Linked DNA regions of Mus musculus: all the other regions are reported to be linked to region 1. The links are microRNA targets in miRTarBase. Many come from high-throughput screens and were not tested one by one. Region 1 holds a microRNA gene; each other region holds the end of a gene's coding sequence.

Region 1 (4,088 bases):
TCCTTACAGGAACAAACTGGGTGGAACAAATACATATTAATTAGATTGGCATACTCAGACAGGATGAATAAATCTCACAGTGGATATCCACATGCTAGCAGGACTGAGCCCCCAGGGGCTGTTCAGTTCAAGGGGCCAGTTGCCTTTACAGTCCTAATCAGATACTGAATACCTGAAGGATTCCTAGAGGGATGCTTGCTTTCAGTCTACTTGGAAGGTTGTAGAAAGTGGATTCTGACATCAGTGTGGGATCACAGTGCCAGCAGCAGTAGCAACAATGTTGATACACTCACAAGCCAGGCATAGCAGTAGCAACAATGTTGATAAACTCACAAGCCAGGCATAACAGTAGCAACAATGTGATACACTCACAAGCCAGGCATAACAGTAGCAACAATGTTGATACTCTCACAAGCCAGGCATAACAGTAGCAACAATGTTGATACACTCACAAGCCAGGCATAACAGTGGCAACAATGTTGATACACTCACAAGCCAGGCATAACAGTAGCAACAATGTTGATACACGCTCAAGCCAGGCATAATAGCAACGATGTTGATACACTCACAAGCCAGGCATAACAGTGGCAACAATGTTGATACACTCACAAGCCAGGCATAATAGTAGCAACAATGTTGATACACTCATAAGCCAGACATGACACCAGCAACAATGTCGATGCATTCACAAAACAGGCATAACAGTAGCAACAGTGTTGATACACTCAAGCCAGGGATGACTGTAGCAACAATGTTGATAGACTCACAAGCCAGGCATAAAGGCAGAACAGCTTTCTTTCAACCCTCCTTGTATGGAGGCACTGTGGAAGGCACTGCCCATTTGCCAGCCCAGAGAATAAGTCTTAGTTCATTCCAGAAACAATCTACTTGATGCACAGGTTATCTAACCACCTGTGCATTTGAGTTCCATCAGATGAACAGCACTCTGGGATGTCATCATTTTCCCCTCGTACTGGCTGGGTCTGTGTGTCAACTTGACACAAGCTGGAGTTATCACAGAGAAAGGAGCCTCCCTTGAGAAAATGCTACCATGAGATCCAGTGTAAGGCATTTTCTCAATTAGTGATGAAGGGGGGAAGGCCCACTGTGGGTGGTGTCATCCCTGGGCTGGTAGTCCTGGGTTCTATAAGAAAGCAAGCTGAGCAAGCCAGAGTAAGCAAGCCAGTAAGCATGGTCTCTGCATCAACTCCTACCTCCAGGTTCCTGCCCTGTGTGAGTTCCTATCCTGACTCCCTTTGATGATGAACAGCAATGTGGAAGTGTAAGCTGAATAAACCCTTTGCTCCCCAACTTGCTTCTTGGTCATGGTGTTTTGTGCAGGAATAGAAACCCTGACTGAGACACCCCCTAAGGTCAACAGAGGCCTCAGCACCCCTATGTACTGAGATTTTGTGTTCCTGCCTGGCTGTGTTGCTTTCTCTACTTGGTGAAATGTGGTGACATATGGTGACATTTCTCCCAACCCTTTTCCCAGGAGAGAGGGATCTTTGTCCTTTGTAGAGCTAGTGCTCCACACTATGTGCAGGGAGCGTTGGCAATCATGGAAATGTCTTTGAGTTGAGGGCTCAAGTTGAGGGAACAATTTTGGCTCCCTCCGATGTTTCTTTTGTGCACATGGATAGCATTAATCTGAGTCCTTGGTCCATGAAACTTTTCAAATGCTCTGTGGGTGTGGCTAGCAGCAGTGGCATCCTCCTGGGGCAGAGTGTGTCCTGGATGGAGGAGAGTACCTGTCACTGCTGGATCACCAGCTCCTGGTGTCTTGTCCCAAATCTGCAAGGAGGATAGCTATTTCTGCCGTTATACAGGGCTGTCCAAACCTGACTGTCTGTATTATCCTGATTGGGAGCTTCTGTGCCAGCCTGGCATCTGTGTCTCTAACTCTAAGTCCAGCTCAGTTAAGATATTTGCTTTTAACTATGAATACAGAGTTAGCTTTAATCGTTAACTGTTTTATAAGCCCATAAGCACAACATGAGTTGCTTTTAGGTAAATATAAGAATGGAAGGATTTTTTACTAACTAGACAGGTTTGAGAGAAGGAGTGTTTATGCAAGTCTGTAAAGAAAACCAAGGGAATGAGGTCTCCATCATGGTGTTAAGGTGCAGCTGGGCAGCATGTGTTAGGCCTCCTGGGCAGCTTTGCTCCAGGAAATAATATACACTTAATCCAGATTTTAAAAACCATAAAGAAGAAAAATATTTGTTTAGGCTTGGTATAATCCCCAAGCTAACTATACATCATAATGGAGCAATATAAGAATCTGCAGAAACTAATTACTCCTGTTGTCTGTCTATGCCTGGACTATACAGCCAGCCAGCCATGCACATACCCATGACTTTCTTCTAACACTGCAGTGTTCCCTAGTTTTCACTTCTTACAAAACATTGCATGGGTATACATAAAGCTTCCACCTCAATAAATAGGCAGAAGCATAAAATCCTCTGATATAGAAATGAAAAAGTCTCTCTCTCTCTCTCTCTCTCTCTCTCTCCCTGCCCAAGCATGACTACTGTGATCACAGACAAGGACTATGTCTTTAGAGTCAGTGTCGTTTTCTTATTTCTGTTCATAGACACCTCAAAACTACACGACAACTCACAGAGAGAGTGTCCACTAAGAAATAGTTAGTGAACTGGGGCTGAGGAGATGGCTCAGTAGTAGTGAGTATGAAGATCTGAACTCTGACCCCAACTTCCTTGTGAAAGAAAAAATCAGGATGTCCATGTGTACCTGAAACCCCAGCACTGGGCAGAGAGCACGTGGGAAGAGACAGGAGGATTGCACTGAACCTGCCCAGCTCCAGGTTCAGTGCAAAACCTTGTCAAAGGAAAACAGTCAAAAGTGATAGAGCAGGACACCCACTGTCTTCCTCTGGCCCCTGTAAGTACACAGGAGAGAGTACCTATTCAGATGTACACACACATGTACACACACAGAGAGAGGGGGGATTAATAAAGCCTTACTAACTAATTTGGACCACATCTAAAAATGAGATATGTCCTGAAGTCTTAGGAGGCTGGGGACTTGGCTATATATCCTGGAAGCCCATGTACAACCCGAACACACAAAGCCTTGCTTGGGTTGATGGAAACTCAGCCTAAACAGTGAGTAATCTCATCTACTTCCTTCGGAGGTGAACCATCCACACATCGGCTGTTCCATACACCGAGGGCCCTGGATCACAGCACGCCCAACAGTTGCTGTCAGAATGTTATGGAAGGAGCAATGCCAGAAGGTGAGAACATGACAGAGCTATCCTTAGCTACCCAGAGAGCTGCCACCTAGGAAGGATGATTATGGCTTCTCCAGAAGTCTGGGTGTCATTAGCGTCTTTCTGAATATCATCTCTCACCAGCTTTCTTCTTTGTGTTGACTCATATTGCTCCCACTGCAAAGGCAACAGGTTTTTGTGCCCAATAAGCAGTGGCTGTACTCCCAAAGTACAGATTGGGGTTTCCATAGCTACAGAACAACAAGCATCTATCCTTTCAAACCTGTTGATGGGAACATCAGGTAGAGGTTACAGAAATGAGGACAGTTCCTGTTACAGGTCTCAGGTGTTCTCTGAGGACAGTCATAGCTTTTGGGTTGGTAGAGCTTCTGACATTTCCAAGACGTAAAGTGGCAGCTGCAAGGCTGTTAGTGAAACATGAGATGGACAATGCATGGCTAATAACATAGCTGATGATATTTCAAGATCATCTGTAATATTCCAACTCTCCACAAAGCTCAAATCTGCCAATGATTCCAGTCTGGTATGGAGCGTGGGGAGTGGGTGACTTTCTGGGAACTTCAGTTCTCATTGTAATTAAGCTGAGTGCTGGTTCTCTAAAGAACATGGCTGCCCCTCTTGCCCAGTAGCTGTGTGTCTGCCTCATTATCAGATACTAAGCACATTGTTATCTGCTAAGAGAATCCTGAAAGCACTGCCTATAGCCTGCTGTGATCTCTTCCTGTTGGGTAAGTTTCCTGCAGATCAACATGAACTTTCATGAATAAATGCTGTTTAAATGAATTAAGGACTTTATAGAATTCCTGATTTGATTCAAATGATTTTAGGAAGA
Region 2 (4,088 bases), not on the chromosome of region 1:
CAAGGCAGGTTGCGTTCCCTCTAAAGAAACTTAAGGACCCTAGGCCTCTGAGGCTACCTGGGGCTCTGAACAGAGCTTTTTTATCTTTTCTTCCTCCTCCCCCCTCCCTCCTCCTCCTTCTCCCTCCTTCTTTTTCCCTCCTCCTCCTCTCTTGTTTTCTTTAATGCCCTGATTTCCCAAAGCCTGGGACCACATATACAGGTTCAAGAGGCACACTCCAGACTCCCTGGCAAGGTATAGTCTCAGCTAGCGAGAGCGAACACCACACTTGAACTCATTAACAGGTGTGAGGATACTGCTGTCCCCCTGGCATGCAGGAGTCCTATTGGCTATTGGACAACTAGGAGAAGAAAAGGCGTGAGGGAAGGATAGCTTAGCTAGCCACGCTGAGCTCTTGGCTAGAGTACGGGCTAGGATGCGCTGGGGAAGGCACGACTTTGTAAGGACTGTTCTGGGGATCATTCCCACTGATGGCTTTTAAAATAAGCTGCAGATGGTACCTCTACGGCTTCCCTGTACTAGGCATTTGGATTCTAAGATCTCAGCTCTGGGAGGACTCAGCACCTCCTACTCCTCAAGTCAGGACTTCACCCAACCAGGATTGGACAGAACACCGAAACACCTCAAAGGTTACCCAAAGGAAGACTTTCCTTATTCCCGAAGACTTCCCTGACCTTGGCTTCATTCTCTCCTGTTCACGGTCAGGCTTCTCATCCCTGCCCCATCGCCTCCCGACTTCCCCACTGTCTGGGTCACCTGCTGCCCTGGATGGCAGAGCCACTCATTTGTACCATCAGATGGCAATGAGCAGTGTGGTGGATGGAACAGAGGGTACCTCCCAGCCCCTGGAGAGGTATTTATAGGCAGCTTCACCCCTAGCAGTCAGGACCATAGCAGGGGCCAGTCCAAAAGCTTCCCCAGCCTGTACAGAAGTCAAGAGGACCCTTGGCAGGAGAGGGACTCTGAGAAGCCATTTGATCTAGCCCTCCTTCCCAAGCCAGTTAAGGTCCAAGTTTCCTCAGCAAGAGGCTTTTTTTTTTTTCTATTTACAAGCTCACGTTGGCGAGTCACCTGCGGTCTCCTTACACCTTAGATAACACTCGAAGCTCCAAAGCTGCTGGCACAGCCTCACCTCCCCACAACAAATGCTACCTGCACAGGGCTAAGGTTTTCCTCTTCTCCAGTCTCCCAGCAGCTTGCCTGCTTTTCATGGACCTTGTTAGAAGAAAAGCTTAGGGGCTGTAGCCTCCCACCTCCCTGACCAGGTTCACTTACCCTGCCCAGACACTAGATACCCATTTCTTTAGCACTCCCCCCACCCCACAAACCCAAGGCAGTGAGAAATAGGTAAACCTTGGAAGGTTTCAGGTGCCCCTTTCCAGGGCTAGCTAGGGTTTTCCAGGGCTAGGCCCGAGCCAAATCCCAGCCAGCATAGGATGGGGAGGGAGGGATGCTGGACCATCTCTGGGGTTCACGGGAGGGAGAATGATCACATGGCTGAGCCCCTAGCACCCTTGTATGTGAGATGCTGGGAGCAGAAGAGGGAGGGTTTAATCAGCTCCAAGGAAGCAGTCCTTAGCTAGGGGAAGGTATGGAGGTGGTAGGGGGAAAGGTACGTGAGTGTGTGGACATCTTTAAAAAATTGTAGTGGGTAAATACTAACATAAACCCGCCCAGGAAAAAAGAGCAGGGCTTAAAGTTTTAAAAACCCATAACAAAATAGAGCTCTAACTGTAAACTACAGAAATGGCCCAAGGAACAGCAGGGCAAGCGCCTCTTGAAACGCCTGCTCTGCTGCTCTCACGGGCTCAGGGCATGGACACTGGCGACTTCTGGTCGGGCTGCACAGAGTCCTGGTCTAGGGAACTCTGTCCTCACTTTGACTTCTTTTCTTGAAATGAAAAGAGAGAGCCTGAGAGGCTTCCAGCCAGCTCTCCCTGCTGAGTTCCCGGCAGAAGCCAGCCTCAGGCCGCTGACTCCTAGCATCTGCCTGTGCCTTGGACTGAGAGCATCCATGTTGATCTTCTCAGCACCCTGAACCTCTTGAAGCAGAGGGCTCATCCTAGAGACCGGGCGGCGACTGCCCAGCACCACACCTCTCTCCTCCACAGAGCCTCCCACAGGTGGGGAGGAGACTCTGGTTCTTGACCAAGCCTTGTCACTTACAGATCATGTGACCCTAAGAAGTCCTTAACCCTTTCTGGACCTCCATTTTCAAGACAGGGTTTCTCTGTATAGCCCTGGCTGTCCTGGAACTCACTTTGTAGACCAGGCTGGCCTCGAACTCAGAAATCCGCCTGCCTCTGTCTCCCAAGTGCTGGGATTAAAGGCGTGCGCCAGCACTGCCCGGCATCGTTTCCTCATCTGTTAAGGGCAAGGTATGGATAAGTCAAGCTATAAGGCTTCTTCAGCTTCTGTAGTCTGGGCTGTCACTGGTAATGTACCCAGAGCTCAAGGCAGGCTGCCTCCACCTCCACCACCTCATTAACTCTTTACTTCCGGGGACCCAAGAGAGTCCAGGCAGTTTGGGGAGCAGGTGTGGCCAGGTGATGGAGGGTATTCCTGGAAGCAGGCAGGGCCACATTGATGCTGACCCTTCTCAGATGCCTCTCCATCCCAGGACAAAGAATGGATGCTGTGTTGAGAGCTGGTTTCCAGGGCCTGCAGTTATGGGAGGAGGAGGCAGGCACAAGTCTGCAGCAGAGCTGAAGGGAAGAGCACGGCATTCAGATGGGCGTCGCCTGCCCCTACCCTGGAGGGTCCATGAAGGGAGCATCCCGATGAGGCAAGGCAACTCGAGACAAGCCCTTTAGTCACATAGCCACCTCAAGTGGCCCTGTCACTCCACCATTCCATCTGGAGGATGGCAGGGATGGCAGTGCTGGCTGAGAGGGCAGTGCCACCGGGGTGGTGAATGGGCTTCAGTCTGGTGCCCCTTTCCATCAGGTGGTGTAGCCTCTCAACCCTTTAGAGCTCTTATCCCCAGTAACCCAGGGCCTTGTTCTTGGCTACTGAGTAAGCAGGACTGCCGGGGAGCCACGAAGCCCACGTGGGGACTAACTGGTGCTTCTCCAGCAAGGACTAGGAAAGGTCCCTCTGCTTCATAGAGGGAAATTGATAGCCCACTGCTGCCCATGTTCCTGCTGGGCCTGGGACTCTCATCCCAGAGAGATGAGAGATGGCAGTGCCCACTTGTGGCCCCAGAGGGCCATCCACTTGATCTGAAGATGTATGTCAAATACCTTCTATCCAAAGGCTTGTTCCTTCTGTCCAGGACCCCAGAGGGTCCAGGCATTAGGTCTAGTATTATCATGGAAGTCACTGCCCAGTGCCTCTTGATTTAAAGAAAAATTCCTTGCCTGGTTCTATCCTGTGGCAGAATAGAAATATCCTACCTCCTACGTAAAGGGTACTGTTGGGAGAAGGTGTCTAAGCCAGCCACTCTCAGGCAGTGTTGGACCACCTTGGCGTTGGAGGGGGGCTGTGGCCAGCCGCTGTGTCTGTTAGGGTGGGTGTCCAGCTTGGGCGTGGCGGGCAGCGTTGAGATCAGAGCCTCTGGCATCCGGCGAGCATCAGTATAACCATGCAGGAGAACACCGGGCCAGGATGGGCAGGGCGGACGGCTGAGCTCTCCACCATCATGCTGGTGCCTGAAACCAGCCAGTGGTAGAAACTGGGTGGCTGAGTGAGCCTCCCAGCCCTGCCCTTACAAAAGAACCCGGAGGCCTCTGGAGGAAAGTCATATGGAGGCCTTAAGAACCGAAGGCTAGTGATGTTCTTAGCCTTACCCATGAAGCACTGACCTTCGTTCTTGGTCCCCATAAAAAAGATGTATTCCCTCCTTACCTTGGGGTGGTTCTAGGGTAGGGAGGGGACAGTGGCATGGCACCATTCATTGCCTGTCTTTCCTTTCTCGTGGGGGAGGGGTGGTGTCTAGGTTAGAGCTGGCTCTTGGGGACAATCCCTTGACCAGTATCTGGTGGACTAATACTGCTGAGGGGCTAGGTAGAAAGGGGGAAGGGAGGGGCAGTACCTCCATTTCTCACAATGTGGACTTCGGCTGGTATCCCATCCCCTCCAGGCCCCGT
Region 3 (4,088 bases), not on the chromosome of region 1:
ATGTTCCACACCAGAGGCCTTTGCACATTCTGGCACACCCTTACCTGTCAAGAGTTCAGCTGCACACTGCTCCCTGTTTCTCTAGCTAATGAGACAATGTGTCTGTCCTTACCGTAGGTTTGGATTTGTGCAAGATAAATATTCTGTCTCCGCTTTTAACTTCCCTGCTGAGAATAAGCCACAGTATATCCATGTCACAGGTGAGGCGCTGTGGGTGGGTGCACGAGGCCCTGCCCGAGCCTTCAGGGTAGGACCACCAGAGCCTGCTGCAGGTGTTCACCACAGCTCCACTCAGGCATGGTCTCTCCCTTCAGGAACGGTGTTCCTTCAGCTGCCGTACTCCAAACGCAAGTTTTCAGGGCAGCAGCGGCGGCGACGGAACTCTACCAGCTCCACCAACCAAAACATGTTCTGTGAGGAGCGGGTTGGCTACAACTGGGCCTACAACACCATGCTGACCAAGACATGGCGCTCTAGTGCCACAGGGGACGAGAAGTTTGCTGATCGGCTGCTGAAGGACTTCACGGATTTCTGCATCAACCGTGACAACCGACTGGTCACGTTCTGGACAAACTGCCTGGAGAAGATGCATGCCAGTGCTCCATGAAGCCAGGCTGCTTCTCTTAAGAGAGGCTGTGGGTATGCTGGAGCTGGCCTTCCGGTCAGGCTCTGGGCAGCAGGTGTCAGGCTGCTCCTATCAGTGAGTGGGGCCACTGCTGATATTTGGCCTCTGCACAAGTGTGAGTGAAGAGAAAGATTGGAAGCAGCTGCTGCCGCTACCGCCAACCAAATCTTGCCAATCCTGTCCCTGAAGCAGGGGGAGGCACAGATTGTCCGTGGGAGTGAGTCAGTGTCTGGGAGTGGGGTAGGCAGCTTCCATTAGGGTCCTTTTCCTTCACCAGCAGTGGGATATTCGGAACAGAACCTCCTGCTTTCTGCCCAAGAGTGTGTGTATGAGGTAAATCTGTGGCATAATGTACCATTGGCTCACACCAGCTGTACATATGTGTACATAGCAGAATCTAATAAAGCCCTCCCTCCCTCCCTCCCTCCCTCCCTCTCTCCCTCCCCCGGTGTCTGTTCCCAGCCTTGTTGGTAGCCAGGCCAGTCAGGTCACCTCAGGTGGCCAGAGGGCTTCAGGACACACTGGTCTTGAGTCTGGCTCTGAGCTGGCTTGATAGGTTTCTTTTTCAAAGTCCTTGGGCAAGAACAAGGATCTTCTGGACAGGACAGGACTACTGAGCAGACAGTACAGTACAGTATAGTAAGAAGCTCTAGGCTTGTCATGTCAGAAATATGCCTCGTTAAGTGGATGGGCCAGCTCAGGGAAGCAGACATCACGGCATTCCCTACACGTCCAGTGAGTGCTTTTCGCTCTAGACTGCTCAGGGAAGGCAAAGACCGAAGACCATGACTACTGCTTCCTCCTATACTAGAGTTAATCACACACCCCATTGATGTACCTTTTTTTTTTAAAGATTTTATTCATGTATTTGGTATATATGATAAATACACTGTAGCTATCTTCAGACACCAGAACAGGGCATCGGATCCCATTACAGATGGTTCTGAGCCACCATGTGCTTGCTGGGATTTGAACTCAGGACCTCTGGGAGAGCAGTCAGTGCTCTTAACCTCTGAGCCATCTCTCCAGCCCCTTGATGTACCTTACCTTCTTTACCTCTCCTGGGCCCTATGTACAACTCCAGGTCCAGCCTTCCTTGTTTCTCTTCTCTCCAGGAAACCTAACTTGTCTCTGGTTCATCCTACTGCACTCTCCTGGGAAACTAGGGTTTTGTTGGGTTTTTGTTTTTTAAAAAAACTACTCCAAGCAGGTACAGCAGCTTCCTGTAATACCAGTGTTTAGGAGACTGAGGTAGGCTGGCCTCCATAGTGTGTACTTAGCAAAGTTGAGCTTTACAATGAGACTGTCTCAGAAAGTCTCACTTTGGGGCTGGAAAGATGACTCAGTTAAGAGCATTTGACTGATCTTACAGAGCACCTGAGTTCAGTGCCAGCGTGAGGTCACTCACAGCCATCCATACCTGGAGTTCCAGGGGACTCCACACCCTCTTCTGACCTTCTTTTGCATCGGGCACACATGTGGTACATATACATATATCCACATATATAATACGTGCAAGCAAAGCACTCACATAAAACAAAAATAAATCTTAAAATCAAACAGACAGCTCCACTCCATTTAGACTTGCCACTTAGAATTCTCTTGACTACCTGACTCCAAAAACCTTCAGTATGGTGCTGGAGATGCAGATCAGAGCCAGCATAGCAGGCACCAGGCTCTGGACTCAATTCACAACACTACAAAAGTAAAACCAAGTATTGTCTTGCCTAGTGGGCTGTTCTCACAGCTGCCTTGGGAGTTGTGCATTCCCTTGAACCAGCTCAAATCTTCTGCGTACACTGTTCCAAGCTGCACTCATCGGGAACTTCTAATCACAGCTATTAAGTCCTGTATGTAAAGGTTTTTTTTTTTTAAAGGTGTGTGTGTGTTGTGTGTGTGTATGGGTGCATCGTTAGGTCAAAAGAGAGGACATCAGATCCCCTGGAACTAGAGTCTAGACGGTCGTGAGCCACCATTTGGGTGCTGGGTTGGGAACCTGGGTCCTCCCAGAGCTCCAAGTGCTCTTACTGGCTGAGCCATGTCCCTAGCTCCTGCATGTGAAGCTTTTGAGAGAGTAAGCTGTTAACGTGTGAAAGTGTGATCCATGGGAAGTAAGCCTAAAAAAAACTTAGCTTCACACACACACATACTTTTCTTCCCATGAATATTGCTCCTCCTTGATGTCAGCCTTCTTGTCAGTGGGAGCTGTCTGGAGTAACTGGGGGGTTGAGGCAGGTACAGCTGGACTTTGTGGAGTGTACCTGTAACCGCAGCACTTGAGAAGACTAAAGGAGAGGGAAGAAGGTTGCTGTGATTTTGAGGTCACTCCAGGACACACACAGTAAGACACTGTCCCAAGCAAATAAGCACACACAAACAAAAAGGATGTTTTCGTTTGAAAGAGCTTAGTACTGAAAAGAGAGTAAATCAAGTTCTCGTTTTCCCAGATGGGTATGTTCAGGGTTCCATGCCAGCCTCCTCTGTGGTCACAGCAGCTGTTGGCCACGCCAGACCGTGTGATCTCGTGTGGTCCTGTTATCCATCCTATGGAGCCATCAATTACCCCTTCACATACAGTTTTTGTCATATTCCAGAGGTAACTTGGAAGACATAGAAAATTACCTGGCAGGAGTTCAACTGATGGAATACCAGGTCACTTGCCTATCAGCTGTCCTGAGATGCTCCTGGCCTTGAGCTCCAGTTCCTGCAGTCTCTAGCATTCCAGATTCCAAGCTCAATAAATAAAGGTGTTTGCCATTGGTGATTTAAGTTCAGCTCCCCAGACCTATATGGTGGAAAGGATCAACTCCAGAAAGTTCTCTGATGGCCACACAGATGTTGTGGTACTCATGTATCCACATATATACATACATGCATAAATTTAATTGAAAAATTTTAAATATTAAGATCTGTTAAAGTTCACTAAAGTGGATAGAAAACAGCCGGAGAGAAGCAGAATAAAGGCCAATTTATTGTTCTCTACAGCCACCTACTTTCTGAGCGCTTACTGTGTGCTAGGCGTGACACATGCCTGAGAAGAGGTAAAGGGAAGGCCTCTGGAGGTGGAGGCCAGGCCATACAGCTGAGAGGAATCCAGGCTGACTGTTTTGTGGGATAGCATGACATGATCATGTGCTGTGCCAATCCTCTTTGCCTTGAACTGCAAATTCCATGTATTCAGACACAGGCATCCTGTAACAGGGCCATAGCTTCCCACACAGAATCCCTGCTAGAGTAGACAGTGACTGCCCAGCCCCCAGGACCCTGCCAGTTTCCCCCATGGGCCTGCAATTGCTGAGTTCAGCCTGCAGAAGCTTCAGGCAGCTCCTAGCCTTAAAACTATAACCACATGCTTGCCCTAAACATAGCCGAGAGTGCTCTCCAATTCTAGCTTTTGCTTGTCCAAGAGCATGTGCCAAGAGTAGGTCTTACAGCCTTCAGATCTGGCCTCTATCTGGTGGCA
Region 4 (4,088 bases), not on the chromosome of region 1:
CTGTCACACAACCATGCCAGCAACATGGCATTTAACCCCTTATCAAGGGGTGAAGAGAGCATTCTCAGAAATAAGTTCTCTTTCTGAATCCAATTTGAGACAAAGGATTGTAGAATTATAGAAATGAAAGCAAACCAAGTGTGGTGTGGTGCATATCTATAATCCCGTTATTTAGGAAACAGAAGGGGGTGGCTCTCCAGGAGTTGGAAGCCAACCTGGTCTATATAATGAGTTCTAAGGGTTACACAGTGAGACTCATGACAAACAAACAAACAAACAAAAAAGAAAGTAATTTATCCATATACTAAAGCTTGTTTCTGATTGATATTCGTAATGTTTTGTTTCTAGCTTGAGCAGTTTCGGACCCTGCTTTTCACTTCTGAGGGAGAGAAAGAGAAAAGAATGGTGGACAACTTCCGCCCTCTTCAGCCGCTGATGAATCGCACAGTCCGCTCATCCTTCCGCCATGACTATGTGCTCAATATACAAGTGAAGCCCAAGCCAACAGCCAGCGAAGTCACCCCCTAAGACAGCATTCTTCAGCAGCATCTTGTTTTAATGACTATTAGCTTAAAATTTTAACTAGATTATTTTAAAACACAGCATTTAATAATACTTATATGTATACATTTCTATTTTTTTCTTCCTTTTTTGGGTAACATTTCAAAATTCCTACTCTTGTAAAGCAAAGACCGGGAGACAAACGAAGAAAAACAAAAACCTGTACCCAAATAACGTCAATCTGAGGTCACCCTTTCTTTCTTTCTTTCTTTCTTTCTTTCTTTCTTTCTTTCTTTCTTTCTTTCTTTCTTCTTTCTTTCTTTCTTTCTTTCTTTCTTTCTTTTTTTTTTTTGAGACAGGGTTTCTCTGTGTAGTCTTGGCTAGCCTGGAACTCACTTTGTAGACCAGGCTGGCCTCGAACTCAGAAATCCACCTGTCTCTGCCTCCCAAGTGCTGGGATTAAAGGCGTGCGCCACCACGCTCAGCAGATTTACTTATTATTATATGTAAGTATGATGTAGCTGTCTTTAGACACACCAGAAGAGGGTGTCAGGTCTCATTATGGATGGTTGTGAGCCACGGTTGCTGGGAATTGAACTCAGGACTTTCAGAAGAGCAGTCAGTGCTCTTAACTGCTGAGCCATCTCTCCAGTCCAGAGGTCACCCTTTCTTATGACAGCGTTAAGGCAGAGGAATCTGCCAGGCAGTGGTGGCGCACGGCTTTAATCCCAGCACTTGGGAGGCAGAGACAGGTGGATTTCTGAGTTCGAGGCCAGCCTGGTCTACAAAGTGAGTTCCAGGACAGCCAGGGCTACACAGAGAAACCCTATCTCGGGGAAAAAGAAAAAAAAAAGGCAGAGGAATCTTCATTAACTGTTAAATCTCTCTAATCTATTTCTCAGACAGTCAGAAAGACAATTTAGTTTCCTTTTGGTTAAATGGGGGCTTAATATGAGTGCCTGATCTTGATTTTTCTGTTTGGGTCTAATTCAGGAGCTTAGCTCACAACAAGAGGTTCTTGTGAATTTGATTTTAAAATGCCCCCCTTTTGTTCAAACTGGTGAATTGTCTCACCTTTCATTGTTGGTCAAGTTCTTAGCTACCATCATTTGGAGGTGAATGGCTCTCAAAGTTTAGGTGTAAACTTCCTGGTTTTAGAGTATTTCATGTCTTTTTTAAAAGAGAAGGTCTCATCTGTGTAGCCCTGGCTGTCCTGGAAATCACTATGTAAACCAGTCTAGACTTGAACTCACAGAAGTCTGTCTGTCTTTGCCTCCCAAGTGCTGGGAATAAAGGCTTGTGCCACCAAGGCCAGCTTTCATTATATTTGCTCTTTGACTGATAATAATATGTGTCATTGGAATATTAACAGAACATGCAAGTTGCACTTATAGCAATCTGTTAGTAATTGTGTTTTTATATCTGAAATTGTGTATGTGTGTGTGTTTTGAGACAGTGTCCCACTCTGTAGTCCAGGCTGGCCTGGAACTCATAGTTAAACTTTTGTCTCAGTCTCTCAAGTGTACAAGGCACCACACTCAACGATTATATTTGCCTTCCTTGGCTATCCTTTTTATTTGTGAAACAAGGTATCCTTTAGCTCAGGCTGTATTAGAAGGTGCTGTGTAGCAGGAGCTGCTTTGAAGCTTCAGGTCCTCCTGCTTCCACATCCCAACTGCTAGCATTGCAAGTGTGCGCCACTCCGCTCAGCTTCAGCTCTCTTCCAGTGTTCATAGCTGTGTAGAATCACAAGTAGGGATTACAGTCAAACTGTTAAAAACTACCAATGGTGGTGCTACTTACCACACAAAGCCCAGGCTTCTCAGAAAACGTCTGTGGGAGCCCAGACCAGCAAGTCCGAGCTGAATGCTGGCCATAGTTTTAGGTATATTTTGTTTCAAAACTTGGGTGTGAATTTTTGTATTCATACTTCTCAATGAGTATGTTTATACTAATCTTTAGTTGCTATTACTAGCATATGATATGTCTACTTATTATCAATTTACTGTATAGAAAATACATTTGGTAGTCATGGGCTGGCTCAGTGGGTAAAGACACTTGCCATGTGAACCTAAAGACCTGAGCTTGATCCCCAGAGCTCACATAACTAACCCCACCAAATTGCTGTCTGACCAAGCATCTTTCATCCCATACATACAACCACATACACATTATAAATGCACACAATAATAAATAAAACTTTGGGGGACGGTTCAAGACAGGGTTTCTCTGGATAGCCCTGGCTGTTCTGGAAACTCACTCTGTAGACCAGGCTGGCCTAGAACTCAGAAATCCACCTGCCTCTGCCTCCCAAGTGCTGACATTAAAGGTATGCGCCGCCACTGCCTGATCTAAATAAAACTTTAAAAGAATAAAAAAGAAGCTATATTTTGTAATCACAAGAAAAGAAGAGCTTACTGTTTCTAGAAGTTCTTTTGCATTTTTCCAAGTCAGATGCTTTACCATAGAGTTTGGGATTGTATAGGGAGTATGTCTCAGGGTTATTACTGCTGTGAGGAAGCACCATGAGCAAAGAACCTTGGGGAGAAAGAGGGTTTGTTTGGTTTACTCTTCCACACACTGCTCATCATTGAAGGATGTCAGGGCAGGAACTCAAGCAGGCTTGGATGCAGGAGCTCATGCAGAGACCATGGATGGTGCCGATTACTGCCTTGCTTGCCCTGGCTTGCTCACCCTGCTTTCTTATAGAACCCGGGACTACCAGGGGTGACATCACCCACAAGGGACTGGACTCTTCTCTATTGATCACTAATTAAGAAAAACATGCCTTACAGCTGGATCTCATGGAGGCATTTCCTCAATCAAGTTTCCCTCCTTTCAGATGACTCTAGCTTGTGTCAAATTGACATAAAAGTAGCCAGGACAAAGCATATACAGAACGTTCTAATGATTGAAGTGCTAGAGGACAGAAATATTTCACGCTGGATTTATAGAAATACATCTCAAATCATCTAGTAGTCAATTATTTTTAATATTAGTTGCATTGTTCATACACTGTTACATAGAATACAATAGCATTTCCAGCAATATTTTTCTTTTATGCATAAGGGTATTTTTCCTGCATGCCATGTATGTCTGTGCACCACATGCATGCTGGGTGCCCAAAAAGACCAGAAGACAATGTTGGATCCCCTGTAACTGGAGTTACAAATGGTTATTAGCTATCTTGTGGGTTCCTCTTTAAGAGCGTCAAGTGCTCTAAACTTAGGAACCATCTTTTCAGTACCCTTTAATATTTTATAAAATTGATTTTATGTGCTTATTAGCCAAGGTGTGTGTGTGTGTGTGTGTATGTGTGTGTGTGTGTGTGTGTGTGTGTGTGTGTGTTGGGGCTGGAAAAGCATGCTGCTGAAGTTCTATTTTTTGGCTGGAATATAAAAATTGTATCATATTTCCTGAATATATTTTCTATAGTACAAGCTATGATTACACCAGCTCTTTGGCCAACATGATAGTCACATAGACTTAGAGTAATTAGAATTGTAAAAGCCTCTGTGTTCAGCATATGCCTCCCTTGTGGTGGTATGAAGCTAAACCATGCACATTCTATACTATTACTTTTTATT
Region 5 (4,088 bases), not on the chromosome of region 1:
TTCCACAGATAGAGAAATGGTGCGCATGCTGTATGCATGCCTTTGCTCTCTCTGCTAATTTAGAAGCAAGTCCTTATCATCATTACATGTAAAGTAGAACACACTGAGAGGAATGCCATGTGTGGAACACTGAATTAGTCACTGCCAGACTCTGCCCCACACAGCAAGCCAGTCTCCGATGCTAAAGAGATGATAAAACCCAATGATTAAAACATCCAGGTTTACATTTGAAATGTAAATAAAGAAAATATCCAATTTAAAACAAAAATCCAGGTTTTTTAGGCAGGGATGGAGAAGCTCTTTGTTCAGTGACAAAACTTTGTACTCTGACACAGTGGCTTTCAAAAGTATTCAGTCTACAGACGCTCATGTTTGAGTGCGGGGGTACTTGAAGAAAAGGTTTTAATAAATACACAAATGCTCGCCATGACACTGTTACGGGAAAGACCTTACAGTAGCCTAAGATTTCTTTAATGAGTTGCTGAACAACTGGTGAAGGGTATTCTGGGAAGTGATAGCTTAAGCAGACACTTAAAATGCAACAGAATGCGTATATCACCATGAAAAGATGACCACAACATACCAATTCAAGGGGGAGCTGTTTAAGGGTGGCAGGCTTACCCTCGAGGGGAAATAGTTACTGAAATATTGGTGACGGCAGCTTCCAGAAAGTTAGACGGGCTATTTATCTAACTCGACTTATTTCTACAGAACTTTGATCTCGTTTTTGAAAGGAAAAGAAACTATTTTTAAAATTTAGAAGTTAACAAATTCTGACTTTCAAGATCATTTTTATTTTGAAATGGTTAGCTGTAGCTCTGCTTTGCCCTGGTGACCAGAGTGCTGGTCACACCGCTGGTAGCTACTGAGCATCCCAAGGGAACACATGGGTGAGGACATAGGGACTAAAGAATAGTTCTCAATGAGTGTTCGCCTGATTCAGCTAATTCAGAGGCTCAACCTCCTTAGCTGCATTCACATGAGATGCTCAGTTACACAGGAACCTGATGGAATGCTATTTTCTCCTGGAGAATTCCTTTCTTACAAATCGGGAAGTTCTTCGTGACTGAAAGCTGGAGTCCTGCAGGGCTGACTAAATCCAGGAGGCTCTACACCCTGGTTTAAGGAAGCCCTGGGGTCTAAGACTTGCCTCAGATCCAGCATCAACACAAAGGCATGGTGGGATCCTTGGGACCACTTCTTTCTAAACCTCAGCTTTTTCATAAAATTGGAATCACTTTGGGTACCTTCAAGAAGGTACTTGTTGCTGAAATACCAGTACTTGGGAGGTTGAGGCAGGGGGATTGTGAACTCAAGGCCAGGGTGGTATACACAGAGAGTGGCTATCCCAAAAAGACCTCCCAAAAGATGTTCATTGTATACCGAAATGTATGGTATAGAGTGCTCAGTACATAGAGCTATGTGTTTTTATAGATCTTTTTGATTATGTATTTGGTAGAAATAGGGAGGGACTTGATACTAGCAGCAGAGAGGTTGTGAGTGCCACACACACATGCACACATACAGATTAAAGACTGCATGCTTCAGGAGCCCATCTCAGCTTCCCTTACAAACAATTGAGGACACTCTCCAATGCGAGGCAGGAGAATGATCTCCTAACAGGAGTGTGCTGGTGTCACAGCAGAGACGGTCTTATAAAAGCGTGTGAGTGCCTGTTCACACCTCTTTGGGACTTGAAACAGGTCCTTCTGCAGCTGCTCTCAAAGCCACCTACCCCTACCCCGCTTCTCGAAGCATCCTAAGATCCAGACAGCTGTGAGGAGAGGCATACGTTTGCTCCAGCCATTCTGTCGTTGTTAGGGTTCGAGTCTCCTTGTCAGTCTGTATTTGACTTTATGTTCTTCCTCATGAAGGAAAACATGAATCCTAAGTGCATTCAGCTTAAACCCTACATCTTAAATGTATTCAGAGAGGTATGGGTGAGCACGATGCCCATGTGTATTTTCCATATGCATTCCCTATACCAGGTAAAACTCAGCAGAGAATGTAAGGAGCTAGGGTCTGATGCTGACACAGGTGCTGCTCCACTGCAGGAACTCCGTGACTTACTTATAAAGTGGCCCTGAGTGAAGGTTCTTGCACCGTGTTCTTGGGAGCTCTATGCTTGCCTAAGTGATGCTGCGCTGCTTTGCTTGGCTCCTGGCCTCCATCCTTTTACAAGCGCTCCAGCAGTGTTTAAACAAATACCTTTCTCCTGTCAGCTCTCTTTAGATGCTCCTACTGGCTCATGGCACCTAAGCATGGCCATGAGCCAGTGTCTCTAGTCTAGAAAATACAAAGCCCACTGAAAAGTCACAGAGCAGTGTCCTGCTTGGTATCTAAGGGTGGTGGTGGTGGTGGTGGTGGTGGGGTTGGGGCCGCAGAAGGAAGAGAGTGGGTCATGACTCTGAGGTGTCCTCTGGACTGCTGTGGAATGCACAGCTGTGGACCCAGCTGCATCAACAGACTGTAGATACTCTGCTGGGCTGCAATCTCCCTCTGTGGGGACAGTAGGGAGCAGGGCAAAGGCGCCTGGACACGGAATCAGAAGATAAGGTGTGAGTCTCATCCCTGGGATGGGCTGCTCTGTCTCTCTGAACCACTGTTTCTCCAGCTGAAGCCATGAGTAGAACTGCCCTGTAGATCAGCTCAAAATCTATGCTGTTTGGTTTAAGTAAGGTGAGGTTTGAAAGCATTTTTTTTTTTTTTTTTTTCGAGACAGGGTTTCTCTGTGTAGCCCTGGCTGTCCTGGAACTCACTTTGTAGGCCAGGCTGGCCTCGAACTCAGAAATCCGCCTGCCTCTACCTCCCAAGTGCTGGGATTAAAGGCGTGCACCACCACTGCCCGGCTTGAAAGCACTTTATAAATGATAGATGTCTCCTAATAATATAAGTTAGGTGGTGTCCTATTTGGTACAAGTTGTAGTCAGCAGCTAGTGGGACAGCTGTGAGGCAGCCTCCCCTCGCTTTCTCAGAACATTTTTCCTAAGCTGTGGGTTGGGAGGGAGAGTTATAAAAAGGAGTTTGCTATGTTCGTATAACTTTTCAATATGAAGTGTTGATATACAAACCATTGTATCTCATACCAAACAATGAGCTAACATACTGAGTTATAAAGATCTAATTATAAAGAGGTTTATGCATGTAAAATCTGACTATAAATGACTTCAATAAATGCAACTAGATTATTTCCAAAAAAACTACTGTAGTGGCAACTGATCTTTAACATGTACACGAAAATACCACACTTGCGACTTGACACCCTGCCTGGTGCACGTGCTGGATTCCTGTGTCTCGGGGTGTGGTGGCTTGTGTCTGGTTGTGGACATGGACTGAGAAGCCAGAGGACTCTGCTGCTCCATTTCCCATGGAAACCCATCAGCTTTTCGGGTCTGTTAGCTCTCTGGGACAGTCCTCTTCACTCTCCTCTGCACAGGACAGGTTCAGGGCGCTCATCACGGGGTGGATCCAGGACGTGGTCTGTGTCACGTGGCTTGGGAAGAACAAGGGGTGCAGATTAGCATGTGAACAGCTCTCTTTCTACGTAACGGAACACGTATTGATTCTGGGGACTACCTGCTTCGACCCAGTTGTTGGCCCCTGGGACAGGAAGCAATTAGAACCAGATCCAGTAGTGTTAAGAAGGCTTGGAGAGGTTTTAGGGTCTTTTATAACCATGAATGAAGATGAACATATCACCTCAAACTCCTGTTTCCTCATCTGAAGGACACTGTCTGTGAGTATGTCTGTGGCTGTGTAGCTGTGTGCAACACCTCTGGAGTTTGTCTGCTGCCCTCCTTTCCAGTGTTCATTCCCCACTCCACTCCAAAGACCAGGCCAAACGACAAAGCATACACTGTCATTTACTTGAGAAATACTCGGCTCTACTCAATTCTGGGTCAAGAAAAATTCTACAGTATGATTCTGGAGGGCATTTCTCTTCCCTAGTGAGTCAGGGCACACTTACTCCAAAGAAGAAATTTCTCCATATGAGTCCTTCCATCTGAACCCATACGATCTCTAATTTAACTACTGCTTCCCTTATAATGTTACCCGGATGGGGAGAGCAGGAAGCAAGAAAACCAAGT
Region 6 (4,088 bases), not on the chromosome of region 1:
CCCTCATCTGCTGTGAAAATGCCGTTGTGGTCCTTATCATCTTCCACAGCCCCAGCCTGCGAGCCCCCATGTTCCTACTGATAGGCAGCCTGGCTCTTGCAGACCTGCTGGCTGGCCTGGGACTCATCATCAATTTTGTTTTTGCGTACCTGCTTCAGTCAGAAGCCACCAAGCTGGTCACCATCGGACTCATTGTCGCCTCTTTCTCTGCCTCTGTCTGCAGTTTGCTGGCTATTACTGTGGACCGCTACCTCTCGCTATATTACGCCCTGACGTACCACTCCGAGAGGACCGTCACCTTTACCTATGTCATGCTAGTGATGCTCTGGGGAACCTCCATCTGCCTGGGGCTGCTGCCCGTCATGGGCTGGAACTGCTTGAGGGACGAGTCCACCTGCAGCGTGGTCAGACCTCTCACTAAGAACAACGCTGCCATCCTCTCCATCTCCTTCCTCTTCATGTTTGCTCTGATGCTTCAGCTCTACATCCAGATTTGTAAGATTGTGATGAGGCACGCCCATCAGATAGCCCTGCAGCACCACTTCCTGGCTACATCGCACTATGTGACTACCCGGAAAGGGGTCTCGACCCTGGCTCTCATCCTAGGGACCTTTGCTGCCTGCTGGATGCCTTTCACCCTCTATTCCTTGATCGCCGATTACACCTACCCTTCGATCTATACCTATGCCACCCTCCTGCCCGCCACCTACAATTCCATCATCAACCCTGTCATTTACGCTTTCAGAAACCAAGAGATCCAGAAAGCCCTCTGCCTCATTTGCTGTGGGTGCATCCCTTCCTCGCTGTCTCAGAGAGCTCGGTCTCCCAGCGATGTGTAGCAGCCTTCTCCTCATAGGACGCTGCCTCTACCAAGCGCTCCCACCTCCCAGGGCGGCCAGTGATTTCCTTCCTTAAATTCTTTGCACTGGATCTCACAAGCAGAAGCAATGACATCTTTTAGACACGTATTGACAGTGGAAATCATCTTACCAGTGTTTTTTAAAAAAAAAACAAAACAAAACTCGACTTCTCGGCTCAGCATTCTGTTGTTTGGTTTGGGAGTTAGGATTTGTTTGTTTGTTTGCTTGTTTGTTTGTTTGGAGGGTGTAATGGGACCTCATGTGGCCATGAAATTATACAAAAGTCTCGGGATTTTTTAACCTAGGCTTGAAAATAAATCAAAGTTTTAAAGGAAACTGGAGAAGGAAATACTTTTTCTGAAGGAAATACTTTTTTTTTTTTAATCAAGGTAGATCTTCCATTCTGTATGTATCTAACAGGATAGGAGCTTTGCCATATAACCAAAATAGTTTATATAATTACATTTGGAAGGGCTTGTGTTTATTTCTAGGAATTCAGTAATAAGTGACCAGTAACAGAGGCGCGAACTCCTTTCTTTCCTTTCAGCAGTAGTGACTGCTCTTAAGAATCACTTTGCAGTTTCTCTGTGTTACAGTTTGGTATGCATGGTTACCTGTGGTAGTCAGATCACTAATTGCAATATTGCCATGTTAAACCCAGAATTAAAAGAGTCATTTTTTCTTCAATACAGTTTTTGAAATATCCTTTCCAAAGTGAGTCATGAAAAAAATGTTTCCAATTACATATGAGATAGCACTGGTTAGATTTGTCATTGTGATTTTTAAAACTCTAGACTGGTGGTTTTCAGAAAACAAAAGAGAAAATATTAACAGCATCTATTGAAAGAAGATTTTATTTATTTTTAATATATTCTGAGAGAATAAATGGTGTGATACTATTAAGAAATATACAAACATGACTTTTCAAATCTCTATCTATGGATACATTGTTATTCTTACTTAAGATGAGTAGAATTAAGTATTATAAATGGAAAATTTTCTCATTCTGTTGGTAGGGCAAATTGCATCTGAAGCAGGTGGTCTCCTACCTTAACAACTAGGTCTGAGGCACGCCCAGCTAACATGACTGGGGTGTACCAGCTGTGTCCTGTGTGCTCATGCAGGAATGACCATATGTCTGATGGTGAAAAGTTTAATTTCCTTTTACCAGAAGACATCCTCCATGCAACAAGGACTCTGCTGCCTGCTTTCAGAAAGCAAAGGTTTACCTGGGAAATTACTACAAGACGTGACTTAAAACACCATACAGAGTAATTATGTCCAAGTGTCATTTTCTGTGAAAGCAGACAGATGTAAGATACACTGTCCCTCAGTTTGCAATGGGCTCATGGCTGTGTCTATACAGGAAGTGGAAGAATTCCTGAATGGCACATCAAGACCAGTATTTCAGGATCCTTGGTGAGGGGTCATTTGTAATAGGTTCCCCTCAAAGGCTTGTCCCAATCAGTATTTTATGTATTTTATAGATATTATTTTATGTATATGAGTACACTGTAGCTGTACAGATGGTTGTGAGCTTTCATATAGTTGCTGGGAATTGAACTGAGGACCTCTGCTCGCTCTGGCCCAAAGATTTATTTATTATTATATCTAAGTACACTGTAGCTGTCTTCAGACAGCCCCAGAAGAGGACATCAGATCTCATTACAGATGGTTGTGAGCCACCATGTGGTTGCTGGGATTTGAACTCAGGACCTCTGGAAGAACAATCAGAGCTCTTAACCGCTGAGCCATCTCACCAGCCCCTGGCCATGATGATTTCAGGACCAGTCTTCAAAGCCTGCCTGCCAAACCCATTCCTCCAAAGTTGCTTCTCAAGTGGCTCAAGTGAGAAAGCATCTTATACTTGAATCTGTATCTCTTCTCTGAGGCTGCTCATGGCTGCATGAGAGGGATTGAAATACTGAAGAAGTAGGAAAGGATTTTCAGCCCTGTATGATCAACCCCAATCCAGCCAACAGCTTTAAAACATTTATTTTGAATACAATATGGGCGTGGTAAGAAAGAATAGGTTGAGTCTTTTTATTCATTAATTTAAATATCTTATTTATGTATTCATTTTACTTACAACTCACATAGATGTACATATGTGTGCAGGTGTCATGAGAGGCCACAGGTATCCAAATGGCCTGGAGCTGCAGTTACAGCTGGTTGTGAGCTGCCATGTGGATGTTGGGAATAGAACCTGGGTCTTCCACAACAGCAGTCAGTGCTCTTAACCACTGAGCCATCTCTCCAGCCCCAGTCATTTAGCTTAGACTTGAGCAGGAAACTCTCATAATGGGTCCTTAAAGCAACAGATGGCGCTTTATGGGATGGGAGCTCTCCTTTGCACATCTCTGCTAGGGGACACAGGAGTGCAGTCAGTTTTGCCTGGCCCACGTGTGCTCTCAACCCTGAACTTGCTGTTTTACTAGCTTTCCTTTCTTTCTTTTTTAAATGCAACTGTGAAAACACACATTTGTGGTGAGAAAACCGGAGCTCAGAGAGAGGTGAAGAAGCAGGCTGAGGCCTCTGAGAGAGCTGTAGGGTGAGGCTAGAACTGAAGGCAGGCTTTCCATTCTCCCTTCCCTGCCCCTCCATAATGTTGTCTTTGATCCCTTACTCCACAAAGAAAGCTGCCTTTGAACAGGTCGCTGTCACATAATCTGGGTTCTGTCATTAAGAAAAAGGTTCCCATTTGAAATCACACGTGGACCATCAAACCAATGTGGGTAAATGTTTGTGTACACGGGGCACTGGGTGAAATGGTCTTATGGATACGTATTTGGTGGTTGCTTAAAATTTTCTGACATTAATTTGTGTATGAGTGTGTGTGTATGTCTATGTGCGTGCACATGCATGTGTACCATGGTATCAGTATGGAGGTGAGAGGACAGTTTGTGAGCGTCTGTTCTCAGTACTCTCCTTCTATATGTAGATTCTGGGTATTGAACTCCGGTTGTTAGGCTTGGTGGCAAGCGCCTTTTACCTGCTAAGCCATCTTGCTGGCCCAGAGGTTTGAGCCATGTTCTTAAAAAATGCCTGATTTTATTTGAAATGTTTTCTCCAGTTCTTCTTGTTTAAATTTGTGAAGAGTTTTTGAACATAAGTTATTTCCTACAAGGTTTCTTGTCTTTAATAAAGATAATCACTAAGAAATTGGAACCTATTTCAATATAGGTACACGTGTGTAAGGATGTGAATGTGTGCCTGTGCGTGTGTGTT

What was found. The annotated mature microRNA mmu-miR-5127 reads UCUCCCAACCCUUUUCCCA and lies in region 1 at 1,476-1,494, shown strand. An mRNA with a match to its seed (bases 2 to 7 or 8) in the 3' UTR can be bound and repressed. Matches are read on the target gene's strand: a 7mer-m8 pairs with bases 2 to 8, a 7mer-A1 pairs with bases 2 to 7 and ends in A, and an 8mer does both.
Region 2: the mRNA of Cntn2 is a reported target of mmu-miR-5127. Seed matches in the 3' UTR shown: 8mer at 2,307-2,314 and 7mer-A1 at 1,185-1,191.
Region 3: the mRNA of Depdc5 is a reported target of mmu-miR-5127. Seed matches in the 3' UTR shown: 7mer-A1 at 1,611-1,617 and 7mer-m8 at 2,378-2,384.
Region 4: miRTarBase lists Car5b as a target of mmu-miR-5127. Seed matches in the 3' UTR shown: 7mer-m8 at 1,237-1,243.
Region 5: the mRNA of Stxbp4 is a reported target of mmu-miR-5127. Seed matches in the 3' UTR shown: 7mer-m8 at 2,807-2,813 and 7mer-m8 at 1,359-1,365.
Region 6: the mRNA of Gpr12 is a reported target of mmu-miR-5127. Seed matches in the 3' UTR shown: 7mer-m8 at 1,056-1,062.

Annotation. Positions count from the first base shown.
Region 1 is chr18:81,989,426-81,993,513 of GRCm38, reverse strand. Mir5127 (microRNA 5127) reads left to right here and starts at 1,434; the gene lies at 1,434-1,504.
Region 2 is chr1:132,511,988-132,516,075 of GRCm38, forward strand. Cntn2 (contactin 2) reads right to left here. Exons shown (of 23, transcript NM_177129.5): 22 at 4,034-4,088; 23 at 1-3,650. The coding sequence ends at 3,547. Among named protein-coding and RNA genes, the nearest start is that of Tmem81, 7.8 kb to the left of the region's middle.
Region 3 is chr5:32,990,625-32,994,712 of GRCm38, forward strand. Depdc5 (DEP domain containing 5) reads left to right here. Exons shown (of 43, transcript NM_001170567.1): 42 at 118-200; 43 at 315-3,609. The coding sequence ends at 607. Among named protein-coding and RNA genes, the nearest start is that of Ywhah, 26 kb to the right of the region's middle.
Region 4 is chrX:163,975,631-163,979,718 of GRCm38, reverse strand. Car5b (carbonic anhydrase 5b, mitochondrial) reads left to right here. Exons shown (of 8, transcript NM_181315.4): 8 at 349-2,897. The coding sequence ends at 528. It overlaps Gm38561 (a long non-coding RNA gene), which reads right to left. Exons shown (of 4, transcript XR_878297.3): 2 at 2,920-4,088. Among named protein-coding and RNA genes, the nearest start is that of Gm38561, 19 kb to the right of the region's middle.
Region 5 is chr11:90,477,222-90,481,309 of GRCm38, forward strand. It overlaps Stxbp4 (syntaxin binding protein 4), which reads right to left. Exons shown (of 18, transcript NM_011505.2): 18 at 1-3,493. The coding sequence ends at 3,379. Among named protein-coding and RNA genes, the nearest start is that of Gm34850, 6.4 kb to the left of the region's middle.
Region 6 is chr5:146,579,857-146,583,944 of GRCm38, reverse strand. Gpr12 (G-protein coupled receptor 12) reads left to right here. Exons shown (of 2, transcript NM_001359056.1): 2 at 1-1,795. The coding sequence ends at 839. Among named protein-coding and RNA genes, the nearest start is that of Gpr12, 3.3 kb to the left of the region's middle.